Sus scrofa: one gene and its partner. The protein of the gene in region 2 interacts with the protein of the main gene of each other region in a biochemical or structural test. Links are inferred from orthologs where the notes say so. Each region holds a gene or a part of one and is shown on either strand. Other genes may lie near its edges. The genes, in order: UNC119 and ARL2.

Region 1 (10,140 bases), on a different chromosome or scaffold from region 2:
GGTAAGAACTCAGGAAGGGCTCACTCCCGCCCTCACCCCCACCCTCACCCCGCCCCCACCCCTCACCCCAGCCCCGTGACTCACGTGGCTCCCACCTGCCTCAGACGGAGGAAGGCAGGCGTGAACTGGTAGCGGACAAAGCGCCCAGCATTGGGGTCCAGGTCCCGTGGGTTGATGGGCAACCTCTCTGTAATGTATCCCAGCTGGGGCTCAGTGGGCTTCAAGCTGGGGCCCCCATCTGTCTGAATTTATCTAAACTCCCCAGGAGATCCTAACGCACACTGAGGGTTCAGACCAGTGGCCGAATGCTTTCACCTAAGGGTTCTAGGTCAGCAGGTCACCAATTTCAACTGAGGTCCCCAGAGCCACAAGAAATAAAAAGACCTGGAACCTCTGGGACTGCAGTTCCCAGGGAGGCCTGCAGAGGGCAGGCTGGCAAAGACTGAAGAGGCAGGGCAGCCCTCCCAGGATGTCCAACCCCATCAACCCAAGAAAAGGAAAAGAAGAGGCCCAGCCTCAGGCAGAGCGCCCCCTGCCTGGTGACTCCTGAGAAGGCTGGGGCCCACGTCCCAGCTCTGCTCTGACTTGGTGGCCTGAGGAGTCCCTGGGCAAGCCCACTTCATGGCCCCTGTCCACCTCCCTCTGTTGATGGCCCAGCCAATCCACTCACCTGAGGCTGGGGGCTTCTTGATTTCAAAAAGGACAGTGCCTGAATCCATGTCCCGAATCTTGAACCTGACAAAGTCGATCTTGTAGATATTCTCCTCGGGGGAGCACAGGTAGTCTAGGGGAGATGGGCAACTGAGCAAGGAGAGGGCCTGCCCAGAAGCCCCTGCTGCCCGCTCAGTTTTCATAGGACCCTGAACTAGTCACCAATTTCTCTGATGCCTAAGGTCACTGTCTTCCAGAGAGAATTGAGCCCCTGCCCTGGGGGAGCCCAGTGTGGGGGAGTCATAGTTCTGCAATCAGGATCTAATGGGGACAAATGGTTCTATTTGAGTAGCCTCTGGGATCAGGGAGAAGCAGGGTGGAGGTCAAAGCCACCTCCCCCACACTTCCCCTCCCACCGGGGAGTTGAGAGCCCTTATTTCAGCCTCTGCTTTGCCAGCCCTGGCTTGATGACTTTCAGTCAAATGAGTCTCTAATCTGATGGGGCAACACCCCCCACCACCACCCAGCATGAGAGGGAAGATACAGCCCTGCTTTGGGGTACCTCACTCTAAGGCGGGAGACACAGCTCTACCCCAGGATAGGATACCGCCGTCCCCACCCCACAGCCGCCCCTGGCGCCACCTCTAAGTGTGTCAGGCAAGGACTTTCTCTGACCTGGGTAGTGCTAGGGCAGACGAACACCCCTTTCTCTGTTCCTCCTCATCCCCGGCCCCCCACGGGCCCCTCCTCTGCCCATAAGAGGCTTACACAAACCCAGCTCCCTTAAGCAGCTTAGCCAAAGCTCTGCTGACTCAAGCCCAGAGCCCGGACTACGGGGGGCGGGGGTGGGAATTGCTCCTATCCCCTGTTGATCTTCCAGCGGGAGGAGGTCTTAGAGAACACAGGGAGCCATGTTCTCTGTGTTCTGACTCGAGCCACCCCCACAAGGCCAGGAAGAGGGTGTGGCAGGTGCAGCAGGGTTGTGCACGGGGTAAGGGGAGTCCTCGGGCCCAGAAGAGGAAGCAGGAACAGTGGTGGGTCCACTTGAGGAAGCTCAGGAACAGCAGGGCCTGATCCAACCCTCACTGCTCTTGCAGCAACAACTGCAAGCACTCAGGGAGGTCCTGGAGCAAATAGGAAGGAGCAGAGAGGTGCAGCAGGGGCTCTGATGCTGTCACCCTGCCCAGCATCACATCCTCCCCATAGAGGCCCGGAAATCACCCTCTAGGCCCCTGGGCCACCTCCCATTCCTCTGGGGCAGGAAGAGGAAGTGAATGTAAAATTATTCTCTCTTCCCCAAGCCTGCGACAGCCCCCTCCAGGAAGCCCTCCAGGTAGCCACCTGGCACGATGGGGTCCAGCAAAGACTAGAAGGCTTATGGAGGGGCCTGAGCAACAGCTTGTCCACCACAGCCCATGGTGGGGAGAGGATAGGGGGCAGAATGGAAGTAGGCAGCTCCTACCTACCTCACCCTGTACACACTTTATTTTCACAGAAAGTAAGCATTAATCCAGAGCTGCAGAAGGAAGCTGTAGGGCATAGGAAGAGGATATGACAAAAGTGGGAACGGCATCCTAGTGGCCCAAGTCCCAGCTCCCCATGAAGCCCTCCTTCGTCCCCCGTTTTCTAACTTCTGGGACCTCTCCTCTCATTTGAGAACGCCTTGCAGTCTGGCCTCAGTCTCTCCTGCTGCAAACTCAACCTTTCAACCCCTCTGTCCTTAGAGGAAGTGAGAAACAAGGATGCCCATGGTTCAGGACACCACATCCACTCCCTCCCTCTACCAGAGAAGGATAAGGCCAGGGACCCGGGGTCAGCCCAGATAAGGGGCAGCGTAGCCAAGGGTTCAGAACACAACTGCTCCCTTCCTCTCGGCCACAAATAGCTTCCTAAGCTGGATTCAGCGCTGGGTAATCCGGGCAGAGCAAACCTCAGACCTGTGTGATTAGGGTCAGAAGAGGCCGTGGGGGGAGAGTCCTGGAGCCCTGTTCTCAACTTCTGCAAAGGAAAGGGCTCCTGTGAAACCCTCTCCTCTACTCATCCCCCACAGGTGTCACATCTCAAAGAGCTATGAATTTCTTCCCGATTCCGAGACAAATGTACATGGGCTGGAAGCCCCCATAGCTGCAAAATAACCTCTAAAGTTACCTAGGACCTGGACAAGTTAGACCCTCAGTAAAGAACTTCTGCCCCAGGAGTTCCCATTGTGGCATATTGGAGATGAATCTGACTAATATCCATGAGGATGCGGGCTCGATCCCTGGCCTCGCTCCGTGGGTTAAGGATCCAGCATGGCCATGAGCTGTGGTGCGTAGGTCGAAGACACGGCTCGGATCCTGCATTGCTGTGGCTCCAGCTCCGATTCGACCCCTAGCCTGGGAACTTCCATATGCTGTGGATGTGGCCATGAAAAGCAAAAAAAAAAAAAAAAAAAAAAAAAAGAAGTTCTGCCCCAGACTAACCTGAACCCTAAATGCTGCTGTTGCCAATGACAGTCCAACTGGCACCAACATCAGACTAGTCCAGGTACCTTCCCTCTACCAGCGCCGGCTCAGGCAAGGCAGCTCAGCGGCTCTGGGGGCCCAGCCAAGAATGGCTGCCTGGCTTAGCGAGGAGGAAGAGGCTGGTCCCCCAGGGACCCAGATGCACAAGCCTAGACCTGCTGTCAGGTCCCCTTCACAGCTCTGACTGGAAGCCCCGGGCTCTGCCGTTCCTGCAGCTCCAGAGCTAAGGTCCACTCCAGCATTTGCCCCCCACCCCCACCGAGAGGCCCCAAGAGCTACTGTCACAGAGGGAGCCAGGGTAGGGTTACTGATCAATGAGGTCGAGGTAGAAAGCCACTGCCTCTCCAAATGCTGTGTTCTTTGACGCTCAACCACTGCCTCTGCCATGAGACTTCCTGGTCCTTGTTGCCTGCCTCTGGTGACCCCCTCCCCTGCCCTGAATGCCCAGTTGTCTGCCTCTCAGCAGCAGCTATGAGCAGTCCTGTGGGGCCCTCAGTACTATTGATAAAAGAGCCCTATTTACAGGGCATGCACAACGCCAGGCACGGTGCAAAATCAGAGGATTTATTTTCACAATAGCTCTGTAAGGTAGGAGTTATTATCCCCATTTTACAGGTGAATATGTGCAGAGAGGTGAAGTTATGAGCCCAAGATCATACAGCCAATTACACGACAAAGCTGGAAGTTCAGCTTAGGCAGGTCGAGCTCAGAAACTCAGCCACAGTGGAGACTTGGCCTCCCAGAAGAGGTCAGGCCCTAGTCCAGGCTGCGTGGGGTGGCGCGGGGGGGGGGGGGGGCATTCATTAACCCACTCCCTTGAGAGAGCCCAGAGCCAACCCACTGAAGTTTCCTCTTCAGGTTCTTTCCGGGGTAGGAGGATGGCTTCAGACTTCCTGGGGTGTCCAGGGTGAGGGCATTAACGATCAGGGAGACAGGAGGGTTTTGATACCACCCAAGTAACTCTGCCTCCACCAAGCCTCCAGGGTGGAGACTGAGGACAGACTGCCCTTAGCCCCCCTCCTCGTTATTGCAGAGAAAATCTTCACAGGGTTCTGAGGACTGTGGGGAAGGGGTCACAGTAGCAGCTGCTGCCCACCTCCACCCTTGGAAAAGGGGGATAGACTCTTCAAAAAGGAAAGAGTCGGGTGGAAAGAAATCTCTACAGAAAGAAGGGGGCACAGAGAGATATCAAAGGAAGGAGGTACATGGAGATCTCAGGCCCAGAGGCAGAAGGATAGGGGACACCGGCCAGGGAGACCCGGGTGGGGGAGGGGAGGCAGGGGAGGGAGGGAAAGGGGGCGGGGGCCCGGGCTCCGCGCGCCTCGAGGGCCCTCTCTAGCTCCCGCCTGCCGGCGGCGTTCCCTCGCTTGGTGCTCACCGCCCGTGATCCGCTGCAGCCCCAGCACGTCCTCCGGCCCGATCGGCTGCTTCCTCTGCAGCGGCCCCGGCCTGGGCCCCGAGCCTGCCTCCGGCTCCGACTCGGACCCGGACCCGGATTCCGCCTGCGGCTCCAGCTTGGGCTCCACGCTTGGGCCCGAGGCCCCTGAAGCGGGCTCCGCCGCCGTCCCGGCCCCGCCGCCGCCCTTCTTCACCTTCATGGCCTCGCGGGGCCGCGGCTCGCCTGCTGCCGCCGCGGCTGCCTGCGCCGGCTGGAGCAAAGGGGGAGCGTCCGCAGCCCCGCCCCCGCCGGGGCCCCAGGTACCGCCCCGCCCCCGGGGTGGGCCCAGAACTGGCCCCGCCCACCGCCCGCCCACCTGAGCTACTCACGCGGGCAGGGTTGAGGCTCGCTCCCAGGTTCTCTCATTTTTGTTCCCACTTTTATCTGTAGGAATTTTAAGGCTACCTTCTCCTTACTCGCTGTACTCCAGCCGCTCCGCCCTTCTCTCCGCCCCTCAAAAGAGTTCCCGCCTCAGGGTCTTTGCCTGGGATGCTCTTCCCCCAGAAGGCCTCCTCTTGTCCTTCTAGTCTCAGCTCAAATACCTCTGCTCAGAGGCCCTCTCAGACTCACAATCTCAAGTACCAATACCAACCCCCAGTCACTATCTGATCAGCCTATTTTTTCTTTCTAAAGCATTATCTGAAATTAGTTTCGTTTGTTCACTCTTTCCCCCTTAAAGACCAATTACTTAAAAGCAGAGGTCCTATCCGTTCTCTAAAATACCACTCAGCACCTTGCATAATGCCCACTGCAGCCTGTGCTCAATACAGCTGGCCCTTGAACGACATGAGTTTGAAGTGTGTAGGGCCACTTATATGTGCACTTTTTTCCAATAAAAAATACTACACAATGGAAGGTTGGGTGAAACTGCAGATGCGAAACTGCTAATACCCAGGGCCAATGATAAATTATACTCTGATTCTGAATGCACCGGAAGGTGGGTGTCCCAACCCCTGCATTCTTAAAGGGTCAATTTTATTTTATTTTTGAATTTATGAATTAGTTAGTATCTGAGGGCTTACACCAGTAAAAGCTATTCTCTCCCAAACCCCCTGCTAGACAAGCCAGGACACACTGAGGGACAATAGCCTACAAGATTCTAGCCACCACAGGGCCCTCCAAGATAGGGAGGCAGGAAGGGCACATAGCCAGTAGAAGCAAAGTGGACCAGTGAGCCCAGGAGGACAGGCATCAGGAAATCATTACTTAAAACACAAATGAATGAAAGTTACACTCATACTTCATATAATTCCAATTCACATTCAACCAACGTTTATTGAGAGCCTAGAATATGCCAGACACTTTCACATGCTCATCCATTTAATACTCACAACCACCTTGTAAGGGAGGTATCAGTGCTATTTTTAAATGAAAAACTGAGGCTCAGGGAGGATTAAGTGGCCTACTCAAAGCTCCCCAGATGATAAGGGCAGAAGCAAGGGTTTGAATTCAGATGTGTTTGATCCCAAGTCCGGAATTTTCCCCACCGCACCATACTGCCTCTAGGTAAAGATAAAGGCAACCTCTGCCACACACAGCAATAGGCTGCACCCAACAGGTGTAGCCAGCCTGGAGCAAGGGGAGTAAGGGAGAAGGCCCCAGAGGTGACAGGAGCCCAGCCCTTTCCATGGGAGCAGTGCTAGGGCTCTCCCTGAGGGCCTGGAGGGCAGAGCCCTAGAATCCAACCCAGGGCTTTCCCCCAGTGCTCCCTCTCAGTGCAAGAGGACTGTGGGGAACAGGGCAGAGGCACAAGCTGCCCCTGCCCAGAGGGAGAGAGAAAAGGGCCCTCAAGTTCAAGACCGGTAAGGAGACACCAATGATGTGTCTTTTGAGGAGGGGGTTGGAGGGCTTGAAGAGTGGGAGAGCCCTGAGCCAGATGAATGGGAGGGAAAGGAGAGATGAAACCCTCTTGGAGTGTTAGACTTCAACCGTTGCAGGGGCGACAGAGCAGGCTGGAGACAAGTCATTCGTGGCAGGCCCCACTTATCTGCCTCTCAGCCTAACAGCTCCCATGCTGGCCAAAAAGGAAGGCTTCCTACTGAGATGCTGCCCTGCTCAGTCTATCTTCTCAGGCTTCTTCCAGGACTTGCGAGTCTCCAGGAAGATCTTGAACAGGGACAAAAGGATGGGCACAGCCATAGGCAGGAAGAGCGGGATGTAGATGGCAAACTTCTGGTCATCAGGGAAATAGAGGAGGTGGAGCAGCGAGGGATCAAAAAAGGCACGCTCTGAGGACGTCACAGCCTCCTGGCTGGCAGCAAAGGCAGAGGCCAGGTGTCCAGAGGCCAACTCCTCCGCTGCCTTCTGGACTGCAGCCACGGCCCTGTACACCTAGGAAGGGAGTAGGGGGTTACCAAAAAGTCCTAGGCAGCAGTTGGTGGGGAGGGCAGGGGAGGGCCTCACTGGGTCTTCCGTCTGCCTAGAGTTTGCCCAGGATATGCAGAGGCCAGTATAAAAAGGGTAAGGTGCGAGTTCCCGTCGCGGATCATCAGAAACAATCTGACTCGCATCCATGAGGATGCCAGTTCGATCCCTGGCCCTGCTCAGTGGGTTAAGGATCCGGCACTGCCGTGAGCTATGGTGCAGGTCACGGACACGGCTCGGATATGATGTTGCTGTGGCTGTGGCATAGGCCGGCAGTTACAGCTGATTCCGCCCCTGGCCTGGGAACTTCCACATGCCGTGGGTGTGGCCCTAAAATTAAAAAAAAAAAAAAGGGCAGGGTGTATTTTCTTACAGCCTGTTTAACTCCTTACACCCCATCTGGATTCCTACCAGGGAGTTGGCACTGCCCTCTAGAGGAAACCCCGGGCACTCAAGGATGGCATGCCCATACACTTCCTGAACCTCGATGGCTCTCTGGTTTCACCACACCCTGGTCCTGGTGGCTACTCGTCCTAGGTCACAGAATCCATCCCCTGCCTGCTTACCTCAGATGCCACATCGTCCTTGATGACAATATTGCTGATCTTGCCTAGAAGCTGGGCCAGAGAAGTCAGAGTGGTGGTGGCTGTGGCCAGGTTCTCCACGGACCGAGCCCAGAGCAGCCGGTCTAGCTCCCAGGTCATTATCCCTTCACTCTTAGGCCCTGAAAACAGGCATTTTGGAGGCACCTGGGGCTGAGCAATCCCAAAGAGCAACCTGTAGGAACAGCGAGCAAAGAAGGTCAAAGGGTCTGAGACTAGAAGGTGGAAAAAGACGGTTAAGATTCTGAGGATAGGAGTTCCCTCTGTGGCCCGTCTAGTGTCCATGAGGATGTGCGTTCAATCCCTGGTCCTGCTCAGTGGGTTAAGGATCCGGCACTGTCATGAGATGTGATGTAGGTTGCAGATGCAGCTGAAATCCTACATTGCTGTGGCTGTGGGTATAGGCTGGCAGCTGCAGCACTGATTCAACCCCTGGGAACTTCCATATGTTCTGGGTGCAGCCCTAAAAAAAAGACACACACAAAAAAAGGTACTAAGAATTTCAGTCTTACCCAGAGCCACAGGACAGGGGTTGCAGCACTGCCTTGGGGTCTTAGGGTCCATGGCTAAAATATTTAATTTCACCCCCTCCCGTCTATCTCTCTTTGGACAAATGAGGCCCCTGCACCTTAGTTAAGGGATGATCCAGGACCACCTGACAAGGCATACGTGCCACGCCTCTCTATTCCTACACCCATGGCAGACATTGCTAATCAATCAGAATCCTCTTTCCTGATGAGCCCAGGCACAGCCTTAGAATCCTCAATGTAGGGTGTCAGGAAACCACTATTAATGATCTGTTAGCCCAAGAATTAACAGCTATTTTTCTTTTCTTTTTTTTTGTTTCTTTTTTTTAGGGCTGCACCTGTAGCATATGGAAGTTCCTGGGCTAGGAGTCCAATCGGGAGCTACAGCTGCCCACCTACATCATAGCCACAGCAACAGAAACACTGGATTCAAGCTGCACCTGTGACCTACACTGCAGCTGGTGGCAATGCTGGATCCTTAACCCACTGAGCAAGGCCAGGGATCAAACCCGCATCCTCATGGACCCTAGTCGAGTTCGTTAACTGCTGAGCCACAACAGGAACTCCTTAGTCAGATTCTTGACCCGCTGAGCCACAACGGAAAATTCAACAGCTGTTTTCTTAAACATCCCTAATCACAGCCCAGGGACAGCTTATGTCGGCAACAAGCCCTTCTTAGGAGAAGGATGAAGCCATCAATCCTTGGAAGCCTTTCTTGGTTTCCTTGGGGCTCTAGGCAGAGTCAAGGTGAAGGTTCGTTCCAGTCAGCCCAGCAGACTGTGATCAGACTCAGGGGCCGCACCCCTAGGTGAACCCCCAGGACCTCACCGCAGCTGAGCCAGGAACACCTCCATCACTCGCACCATGTCCACCTCAACTCTCACCGGCAGCTCCGAGGCATTGTAGGCTTTGGGGTCCACATTGTATATCTGCAGGGGGAAAGGAGGTGGCCTCAGCATCACGCCAGGACCATGCATGGCTCTGCCCTAGACACTCTGGACGCCGTGAGCGAAAGGGAAGACATGTTCTGTGCCCTTCAGAAATTACAAACTTAATACGTTTGGAATACCTGCCAATGGGAGCTTTATCCAAATTACCTCCACTACCCCCTCAAAAATCTTGTTAGAGAAATATTTCTTAGTCATTTTTTTTCTTTCTTCTTTGGCTGCCCTGCGCATATGGAGTTCCCAGGCCAGGGATCAGATTCCGAGCCACAGTTGTGACCTGAGCCACCGTTGTGACCTAAGCCATAGCTGTGGCAATGCCGGATCCTTAACCTGCTGGGCTGAGCAAGGGACCGACCCTGCATCCCAGCGCTCACAAGATGTCACCAATCCTATTGTGCCACAGCGGGAACTCCTAAAGAGATGGTTTTTACCCCATTTCAGAATTCCTACCCATGAGAAATTCCCAGTCTAACAGGGGAGACAAAGTTCCCAACCTGTAAGACCCTTACAAATAGGACCAAGATCTAAGGTATACACAGGGGTCAAAGTTGGTGCAAATTGCAGGTGCAAAAGGGTCCTGTTATCGAAACACTGAGGGAAATGAGAAGCGGCGGGGGTGGGGGGTTGGCAGAGGAGGGGCACGAGCTCACAGCACCGTCACTTCCTTGGTGCCTGCACCCCCTAGGCTGGGCCACATGGGACACCAGAGGAACAACAGAAGGAACCATCTCAGGGAACACCTGTCTGTCCCTGAAGCTTGGGCTCAGGGGTCTGCACGGTTGACCATTACCATAATGCCACCCCAGCGGGGACTGTGGAAGGCGTTGGTGGCCACTGGAGCCCCATCCTTGTCCTGAATGTACAGGGGGGAGTGGGCAAGTTCAGGTACATAGAGGAGAAAGTTGAGCACAGGGTAAAGGGAGGCGGTGCTGGATCCTGTGGTACAAAGAGAAGGGGAGTCAGAATATCCAACATGTTAGTCCTGGATCTTAGTTCCAGGTCAGCCCCGAACTTGCTGCTCACTCACCCTGGGCCTCACTGCCCCCGGCCGATAAGCACTAGGATATCCTCCAGACCTGGGTTTCTGTGGTACGCAACTTCGACACT
Region 2 (9,439 bases):
TATCACAAGATTATACAGTTCCTTGTGCTATATAGTAAGACCTTGTTGATTATCTATTTTATATATAATAGTTTGTATCTGCTAATCCCAAATTCCTAATTTATTACCCACCCTCCCCCTTTGGTAACCATAAATTTGTTTACTCTGAGTCCATTTTTGTTTTGTAAATAAGTTCACTTGCATCATTTTTTAGATTCCACATATAAGTGGTATCATATAACATTTGTCTTGGACTTTTTATTTGCATTTTTTAGGCATGAGAAAGACATAAAAGATTTGGGGAAAGCTCTTTTTTTTTTTTTTTTTTTTTTTTTCTTTTTGTCTTTTGTTGTTGTTGCTATTTCTTGGGCCGCTCCCGCGGCATATGGAGGTTCCCAGGCTAGGGGTTGAATCGGAGCTGTAGCCACCGGCCTACGCCAGAGCCACAGCAACGCGGGATCCGAGCCGCGTCTGCGACCTACACCACAGCTCACGGCAACTCCGGATCCTTAACCCACTGAGCAAGGGCAGGGACCGAACCCGCAACTTCATGGTTCCTAGTCGGATTCGTTAACCACTGCGCCACGATGGGAACTCCGGGAAAGCTCATTTTAAACATCTAGGATAGGATTCTGCATTTAAACCACTTTGAGGAACATTTAGGATAGAATTCTGCATTTAAACCACTTTCATGGCTCAGTGGTTAATGAATCCGACTAGGAACCCTGAGGTTGCAGGTTCGATGTGGCTGTGGTGTAGGTCGGCAGCTCCATCTCCAATTCGACCCCTAGCCTGGGAACCTCCATATGCCTCAGGAGCGGCCCTAGAAAAGGCAAAAAGACAAAACAACAACAAAAAACCCACTTTGAAAGTCTTTACGTTTTTGCTTCACTTTAATAGTTACTAATGCATCAGTTTAACCAGCCTACTGCAAAATTGTGAAAGTATATTAAAAAAATTTACAGTGAAAAATCTTTCCCAATTAGGTTTTGTATATGGCTCTACAGATATCGTTATATTGTTGCTATTTTAAATTTTCATGATTTCTTCCATGTCTCTCTATAATATATTTATAACGTTGGCACTGCTTCGTATGTCAACTTTAGTCTGTATATACTGACTTCTCGTTATGACTGTGAAGAGGAGACTTACTCCTTAATTTCTTTTGAACTGTATGAGCTTTTAGTCCTACACAAGCATTATTTTTTGAAAAATTAAAAGTAATTCAACTCCTTAGAGGGCTTTTATGTAAATATCAAACAAACCAATAGACAGAACTTACTCCAAGAGATTGGAGAACTAACCAATATTTGGGTTGAGCCAGAGTTTTCATATTAACTTAAAGAAATTAAGTTTGATTGCCAGACGCCGAGCGTAGGGAGTGGGCACCCACACCTCACCGGCTGGGTACTGCTGTCACGCCCTTTTAAGAGGGCAGCGCCCTTCTATGGCCCCACTCCTAGACGGCTAAAGAAGTAAACGAAGGCTCTTACCGCCACCGTCTCTTAAAGGGGAAATTCATTTCCAGCGTCTAAAATGGGAGCTTGCAGCAGCGTCTCGCCTTAAGGTAAAACACGGCCCCCTCTTGTTAAAAGGGTAAAAGTCCCCGCTGGGCCCCATCTCACCTGCGCGGTGACTTTGTACTCGGTGTAGCCCTTGGGGTGGGTCCGGGGGTCGGAGACTGTGTAGTGCCGCAGGAAGTCGTCCTTCGCCTGGCGGGACATGGCAAACGAGCTGGAGCGGAGCTGCCCGCCGCCCTCCGCCTCCTCCGCGCCGCCCCCGCCCCTCCAGGTCAGTCTCCACGAGCCAACGCCTCTCCTGGGCTTGCGCCCTTCATCCTTTTGCCCAGGGACCTGGTCGCAAGTGACAGTGCAGTTCTCGGCCGGGGCGCTCGGCCAAGGGAGCGTCTAAAAAGTTCTCGGTTGTTGGTGAAGCATGAACGAGACAATTTGAGAGTAAGCATTAGGATGGGTGGATAACTAGGTTTTGCCTAGACATGAGCCTACCCCATGTGAGCTGTAAACCCTCATCGCAGTCTCTCTAAATGACTTATTTCATCCATCCACCTGACTTTTACTGTATTCAATATATGCCAGACAGTGTCAAATTATTTCTCCCTCCCTAGGATTCACGAAATTCATGTTTTCTGGAAGGAGGGGGGGGGTGTTGAAACGATGGTGTCATGGGCTCTTACTGTCTGCATGAGTTTCCCTTAGCCCATGAGTTTCCCTTAGCCCATGAGTTTCCCTTGAGCCTCAGTTTCTCATCTCTAGAATGGGGAGGTTTATAATAGAATCTACTGCAGCAGATGTTTCTTTATCCTTTGGTGGCCTGTCCGGCATTCACCGCTGCCTCCTGCTGTTAGCATCTTAGCACCAGATCTTTGTTTGGAGGTGGTTCACTGGTGTGTGCAGCCCGTGGGCCTGGTAGCCCAGAATCCAAAGGTGGAGGCTGCTTTCCTTATCCCAGGTCCCAGGGCAGGGTGGTGGGCTCTCTCCTGAAGCCTTAAATCTTGAGTGAGGGACAGAATGCATGGCAAGGGGATTGAATTGTTCCCTGAGTACAGTGTTGGCTGTAGGTTTGGCTGTCCAGCCTTTTGGAGCACTCTGTTTTACAAGCCTAGATATCTGACTTCCATCAAGATGCTATGAGTTCCCAGTGTCCTTCCTCGAAAGGTTCTTTCTTTCTTCTTTTCTTTTTTTTTTTGCTTTTTTTTTTTTTTTTTGCTTTTTAGGGCCACACCCACAACATATGGAGGTTCCCAGGCTAGGGGTTGAATTGGAGCTATAGCTGCAGGCCTACATCACAGCCACAGCCACAGCAATGCCAGATGTGAGCTGTGTCTGCAACCTACACCACAGCTCACGGCAACGCTGGATCCTTAACCCACTGAGCGAGGCCAGGGATTGAACCCACAACCTCATGGCTCCTAGTCAGATTTGTTTCCGCCGCACCATGACGGGAACTCCCGGAGAAAATTTCTTTCTGTGGAAAGCAGTCGTAATTTGTATCTGGCAAACCATGCAAGACCCTGCCTGATGCTACCACCCCCAGGCTGTGAAGCTTAAATGAGGGAGCATGGGTACAGCGCTCATGGCCACTCTCTTTACTGGAACTCAGATGAGTGGGTGCTGTAACTCCAGAAAGAAACACAATGCAAACTCCCAAGTCAGACTCTTAAGATCATGGAAACAAGTTAGTTCTTTCTTTCTTCTTTTCTTTTTTTCCTTTTTTTTTTTTTTTTTTTTGCTTTTTAGGGCCACACCCACAACATATGGAGGTTCCCAGGCTAGGGGTCCAATCAGAGCTACATCTGCCTGCCTACGCCACAGCCACAGCAACACTGCATCCAAGCCGCCTCTGCGACCTACACCACTGCTCACAGCAACGCCAGATCCTTAACCCACTGAGCGAGACCAGGGATCAAACCTGCATCCTCATGGATGCTAGTCAGGTTCATTAAGCACTGAGCCACGACAGGGACTCCAGGGCAGGTGGTTCTATAGTTCCGCACTGGAAAGCTTATGTTCTAAGTTTGTCCGCTCAACACCTCCCTTCTTCCACCCTAACAGAGCCCAAATTTTGCATAGGCCCCTCCCCTTCAGGAAAGGGTCCTGGTTTAAGAGTAAATTGGTCATTCTTCCTCTTTTCCCTTGAGAAAACTGCCCTTCCCTCATAGACACATTAGGCTCCTTGCACCTGGCATTGAGTTTCGAGAAAAGAAACAAAAACTAAAACCAGCAGGGTTTAGTGGCTAAGCGTGCTGGGTCCAAATCCTGGGCCCTTGCTTCCTAGCTGAATAGGGTTTTTTTGTTTTTGTCTTTTTAGGGCCTACCTGTGGCATACAGAAGTTCCCAGGCTAGGGGTCCGATCAGAGCTGTAGCCCCTGGCCTACACCACAGCCACAGCCACGGCAGATCTGAGTTGCGTCTGTGACCTACATACACCACAGTTCACGGCAATGCATGGATCCTTAACCCAGTGAGGCCAGGGATGGAACCTGTGTCTCGTGGATGCTTGTCGGGTTCATTACCATTGAGCCACAGTGGGAACGCCCTAGGTGGATAGTTTTGGGTAAGTCACGTCTCCTCCCGGAGGCTCAGTTGCTTTATGAATGGGGACACTGAGAATCTGTCCTGTTTGGGGCTGTTCTTCAGTGTGATGGCAAGTGACAAATCTTCAGAGGGAACCCTGCAGAGAAAGCACCACTGGCAGGACCACAGCAGGGGGCCCTGTGAAAACTTCCATCTGCTCTGCCACCTGGATGGGGGTCCTGGGGTCCCCCTGGTTCCCATGCTCTCCCAGTCTGGTTCCTGCTTCAGAAATGCCCTTGAGCCTTGAGGGAAGGCCCCTTCGCAGCTCTGCTCTTCGTTAGCTTGCTCTACTTGATGCCTGCTCCTCCTTCCTGCATCGGAGTCCGTCCCCCCCGCTCCCCGCCTCCCTGCTCCCCCCTCACCCCGTCTCCCAGCAGCCCTGTCCTGCACTTTTCTAACTCTCTGCAGTCCCTTTCATACAGCGAGTTCACCTCGGACTGCAATTACCTTTTCTGTCCTCTGCTGGCCAATGAACTCCAGGCGGTCTCTAGGGTTGTTGAATCAACAAATGACTCAGCCAGGAATGGGGGCGAGGAACACTTTATTCTCACAGCTGAGCAAAAGACGAGGCCCACAGCCTTGACAGCAGCAGACGCAGCCCCCTCCCAGCCCCAGCCCTCTCTTCTTGGTATAGTTGCTGCTGCCGCAGGCCAAGTTAGGAGCCAGGGTGACAGCCAGGGCGGGAGCCGGCTGGCCCCGGAGCAGCAGTGGGCAGCAGTAGCAGCAGCAGGTTATGGAGTGGGGCAGGGGTGTTAGTGGGGCTGGCTGACTCCCATGCCCGCGTGGATGGTGCCTGGCGAGGGCCTGGTGGGGGCGCCTGGACCGTGAGGTGAGGGGGCATCTGGAGTGGCTCAGTCGGCCATGAAGATGCGGCTGGAGATGTCATCCAGGAGCCAGTCGATGCCAGGCAACAGGTTCTCCCCGGTGACGGCACTGCAGCCCTGGATGCACCAGTGGTGGCTGCGGATGGAGTCCAGCTCCAGGGCCTAGAAGGGAGGAAGGTGACAGAGGGCCCCGGTGTCCACAGGGCCCGACCCCCCTCAGCCCCTTTCCCCTCCTGGCCCAGGGGAAATCCACACCTCCCTCCAGGGCCTGCTGTGGGAGGCTTCCCCTGGCCCCTGGTGAAGATGTGTCACACACACCCCCGCACCCCGCTTCCGCTCCACCGTCCAGAGCACCTGAGCTCTCTGTACACGACAGCCAGACCAGCACGGCAACAAGGGCTCCCGATGTGGTGCTCTGGGCCCTACAGTATCCTCTCACCCATTCCCCCCCAAGGCCCCATGAGCCAGGGATTGTACTGGCCATTTTACTGAGGAGGAAACTTCAGAGAGGTTAAGCAACCTCCTAAAGTCACACAGCTAGTAAGTGGCAGAACCCAGTTTCTAACCCCACTCTTTCTCGTTCTAGCCTTCCAGTCTACAATCAGACTTAAGATGCACTCTGACAATGGGAGGTCCCAAGAAGGAACACGTGCTGCCAAATACTAACCAGGAGAATTTGGGAGGGGCCGAGAGAAGGAAGGAGGTGACCAACCTCCCAGGATCCTTGGCGCTGGAATCCATCTTGGCTGAGGGATGCATGTGCCACCAGAAAAGGACCCCAGCTCAGACCAAATTATGGGCCAAACAAGATGACTGGCCAGAGACAACCCAGACACTAACCTCATTACCATAAAACCTGAGGCTTTGAGCCACATGGCAGCAAATCCGATTCCCTTACCCTACTGTTCTCTGCCCAGGGAGCCTCTTCCCAATAAAGCTTTTTGCTTTGTCAAAAAAAAAAAAAAAAAAAAAGAGTTCCCATCCTGGTTCAGTGGCAACGAATCTGACTAGCATCCATGAGGATGCAGGTTCAATCTCTGGCCTCGCTCAGTGGGTTAAGGATCTGGTGTCACTATGAGCTGTGGTGTAGGTCGAAGGCTCGGCTCAGATCCTGAGTAGCTGTGGCTGTGGTGTAGACCAGCGGCTACAGCTCTGATTCGACCCCTAGCCTGGGAAAACTCCATATGCCACGGGTGCGGCCCTAAAAAGACAAAATATAAAAATAAAAAACAAATAGGAGTTCCCGTTGTGGCTCAGTGGTTAACAAATCTGACTAGGAGCCATGAGGTTGCGGGTTCGATCCCTGCCCTTGCTCAGTGGGTTAAGGATCTGGCGTTGCCGTGAGCTGTGGTGTAGGTTGCAGAGGTGGCTTGGATCGTGCGTTGCTGTGGTTGTGGCATAGGCCGGCGGCTACAGCTCCGATTAGACCCCTAGCCTGGGAACCTCCATATGCCGCAGAAGCAAAAAAAAAAAAAAAAGACAAAAATAAAAAACAAATAAAAGTGACTCAAAGACATTTAAAAAAAGTAAAGAGAGAGAGTTAAGATACAATCTGGAGTCACACCGGCCTGTGTTTAAATCCTGGCTTGTCTGCTTACCCTGTGACCCTGGGCCAGTTACCTTTCTAAGCCTGCCTCACTGTGTGTAGAATGATGTAATAGTTCCTACCTTGTGAGGTTGCTGTGCGAACTAAATGAGTTAATCCGTGCACAGCCTAGCACGTGGAAGCTACTGTTCCCTTGTGGAATAATCTATTTTCAGGTCTGCCTGCCCCTGGGCTGTGGGCTCAACTCTCTTACTAATCACTGACTCCCCAATACCCTGAGTAGGTCCTGCCACACGGCACGGCTAATACATGCTTATTCATTTATTTACTTATTTACTTATTGGCTGCACCTGTGGCATGTGGAAGTTCTCAGGACAGGGATCGAACCCACCCTCGCCATACCCATAACCAGAGTCACATCAGTGACAACGCTTGATCCTCAACCTGCTGAGCTGCCGGGGAACTCCCAACAAATGCTTCTTAAATTAACAAGGAAATGCATGCCCCTTCCTTCCTCCAAGGCCTGCACTCACCTCGCGAATCGCCTTAGAGGACAGTGCTCCGGGCAGGTCCTGCTTGTTGGCAAAGATGAGGAGGGTGGCACCAGCCAGGCGCTGGGGAAAGAGAAATAGAGGGGTGTGTGTGTGGGGGGGCTTCAGAGGGCAGCCTGGCCCCTCCACTGTTCACCCAGGGCAAGGTCCCATAGCAGTGGGAAAGACACAGGCGGGGTGGGGGTGGGGGAGATGGCCTTTGTGTCCAGCCATTTACGGGGTGGAGGGAGCCCCAGGCTGGGCTAGGCCCTTGGTTCCAGCCCAGTCACCACCCAGTGGGCACTGCTCTCCTCCGAGCCTCAGACCCTCTTCTGTAAACAGGGAGGGGGTGACGGACAGACGCTCCAGAGCCCTCCAGGTCTAGCCTGCTCCGCTCTGATGACCTGAGGTGCATGAAGAATGCGACTGTCCCAGGGGCTCTGGGGTCTGTTGGAAATGACCTTCCCTCTTCCAAGTTCACACAGCTCTCCAAACGGTCCCATTACCCTGACAAGCCTCACTCTCTGCCTGTGATTCCAGTTATTTCCATATGTGTTTGGACTGGGAGTCCCTCCACATGGGTGGTGGATACAGCCTTAAAAAGAGCCTCGAGGAGTTGCCATTGTGGCTCAGTGGGTTAAGAACCCGACTAGGATCCATGAGGATGCGCGTTAGATCCCTGGCCTCCCGCAGTGGGTGAAGGATCCGGGGTTGCTGCAAGCTGTGGCATCAGTCGAGAAGGCGCCTCGGATCCTGCGTGGCGTAGGCTGGCAACTGCAACGCTGATTCGACCCCTAGCCTGGGAACTTCCATATGCTGCAGGTGTAGCCAGAAGAAAAAAAAAAAAAAAAGAAAAGAAAAGAAAAAGGGCCTCGGGGTCCCTGAGCATTGGACAGCCAGGATCTCACTGGACCTGCTCAACACCCGTTTAGGCCTGGGGTCCCTGCATGACTACAGACAGCTCTCTCATGTACTCTTAAAAGTGTCCTGGTTTTTAACTAAATGCAGTGTAGGAAACTGGATCAAACCTGAAACAGAGAAAGGACATTAGTGGGAAAACTGGTGAAATCCTAATAAAACCTAGAATTCAGTTAGTAGTAACTTACCAATGTTAATTTCTTAGATTTTGTTTGTTGTTGCTTTTTTTTTTTTTTTTTGTCTTTTTAGGGCCGCACCCGTGGCATACGGAGGTTCCCAGGCTAGGGGATCTAATTGGACCTGTAGCCGCCTGCTTACACCACAGCCACAGCAGTGCCAGATCCAAGCTGCGTCTGTGACCTGCACCACAACTCACGGCAACGCCAGAGCCTTAACCCACTGAGTGGGGCCAGGGATCAAACCTGCAACCTCATGGTTCCTAGTCAGATTTTCGTTTCCGCTGCACCACGACAGGAACACCTAATTTCTTAGTTTTGACAAAGGCATGGTGGTCCCGGAAGATGTTAAATTCCATGGTAAATGAAGGGGAGCTGGCTGAAGGATATATGGGGTGTCTCTTCACTATCTTTACAACTTTTCTGTACATCTAAAATCTTATTTAAAGAAGAGCATTTTGGGGAGTTCCAATTGTGGCTCAGTGGTTAACGAACCCAACTTGTATCCATGAGGATATGGGTTTGATCCCTGGCCTTGTTCAGTGGATTAAGGATCCAGCGTTGCCACAAGCTGTGGTGTAGGTTGAAGACTCAGCTCAGATCTGGCGTGGCTGTGGCTGTGGTGTAGGCCAGCAGCTGCCGCTCTGATGCAACCCCTAGCAGAACTTCCATATGCCTCAGGTGCAGCCCTAAAAAGAAAAAGAAAAAGAAAGAAAGAAAGCCCCTAAATTATTGTCTTTTTTTTTTTTTTTTTTTGGTCTTTTTGCCATTTCTTGGGCCACTCCCGCGGCATATGGAGGTTCCCAGGCTAGGGGTCGAATCGGAGCTATAGCCGCCAGCCTACGCCAGAGCCACAGCAACGCAAGATCTGAGCCTCGTCTGTGACCTACACCACAGCTCATGGCAACGCCGAATCCTTAACCCACTGAGCGAGGCCAGGGATCGAACCGGCAACCTCATGGTTCCTAGTCAGATTCGTTAACCACTGCGCTACAATAGGAACTCCGAAAGCCCCTAAATTATTAAAAAAAAAAAAATAAAGAACATGTGGCCCAGTCAATAGATTTTAAGATCACCATCATTATAATGCCCATCTTAGACAGGAGGCAGTGGAGGTTCAGAGACGTGCCCACCTCGAGGTCACACAGCAGAGTCCGACTCCTGAGCCAGGCTCCACTGCCTCCCCAAGCTTGACACACTGGCCTCAAGTCATCCTCCCTAAAGCCCAATTCAAGGCATAGAAACTGCAGCTCAGGGTGTTGAAGCAGTGACACTGCAGGATGTGAACCTGTGTCTCAGTCCCCAGCGTGTCCCGCCCATGCCCAGTGGGCCTCCGTGGACCACGTGTACAGCTTGTCTCTGCCTCCCCAAG

Evidence for each region.
Region 1: the proteins of ARL2 (region 2) and UNC119 form a complex in vitro, tested with the Homo sapiens proteins (2 studies listed by BioGRID and IntAct, with this or other methods). The link is inferred for Sus scrofa from reciprocal best matches to the Homo sapiens genes ARL2 and UNC119.

The regions. Positions count from the first base shown.
Region 1 is NC_010454.4:44,802,489-44,812,628, forward strand, and holds the start of UNC119 (protein unc-119 homolog A), read right to left. Parts: upstream 4,847-10,140; 5' UTR 4,754-4,846; coding exon 4,534-4,753; intron 785-4,533; coding exon 671-784; intron 188-670; coding exon 85-187; intron 1-84. Other genes in the region: PIGS (GPI transamidase component PIG-S), read right to left, coding at 6,649-6,924, 7,524-7,734, 8,915-9,015, 9,824-9,969. UniProt on the Homo sapiens protein: Involved in synaptic functions in photoreceptor cells, the signal transduction in immune cells as a Src family kinase activator, endosome recycling, the uptake of bacteria and endocytosis, protein trafficking in sensory neurons and as lipid-binding chaperone with specificity for a diverse subset of myristoylated proteins.
Region 2 is NC_010444.4:7,153,366-7,162,804, forward strand, and holds the end of ARL2 (ADP-ribosylation factor-like protein 2), read right to left. Parts: intron 7,058-9,439; coding exon 6,977-7,057; intron 5,870-6,976; exon of another isoform or gene 5,484-5,869; intron 5,060-5,483; coding exon 4,925-5,059; 3' UTR 4,598-4,924; downstream 1-4,597. Other genes in the region: SNX15 (sorting nexin-15), read right to left, coding at 1,605-1,703. UniProt on the Homo sapiens protein: Small GTP-binding protein which cycles between an inactive GDP-bound and an active GTP-bound form, and the rate of cycling is regulated by guanine nucleotide exchange factors (GEF) and GTPase-activating proteins (GAP).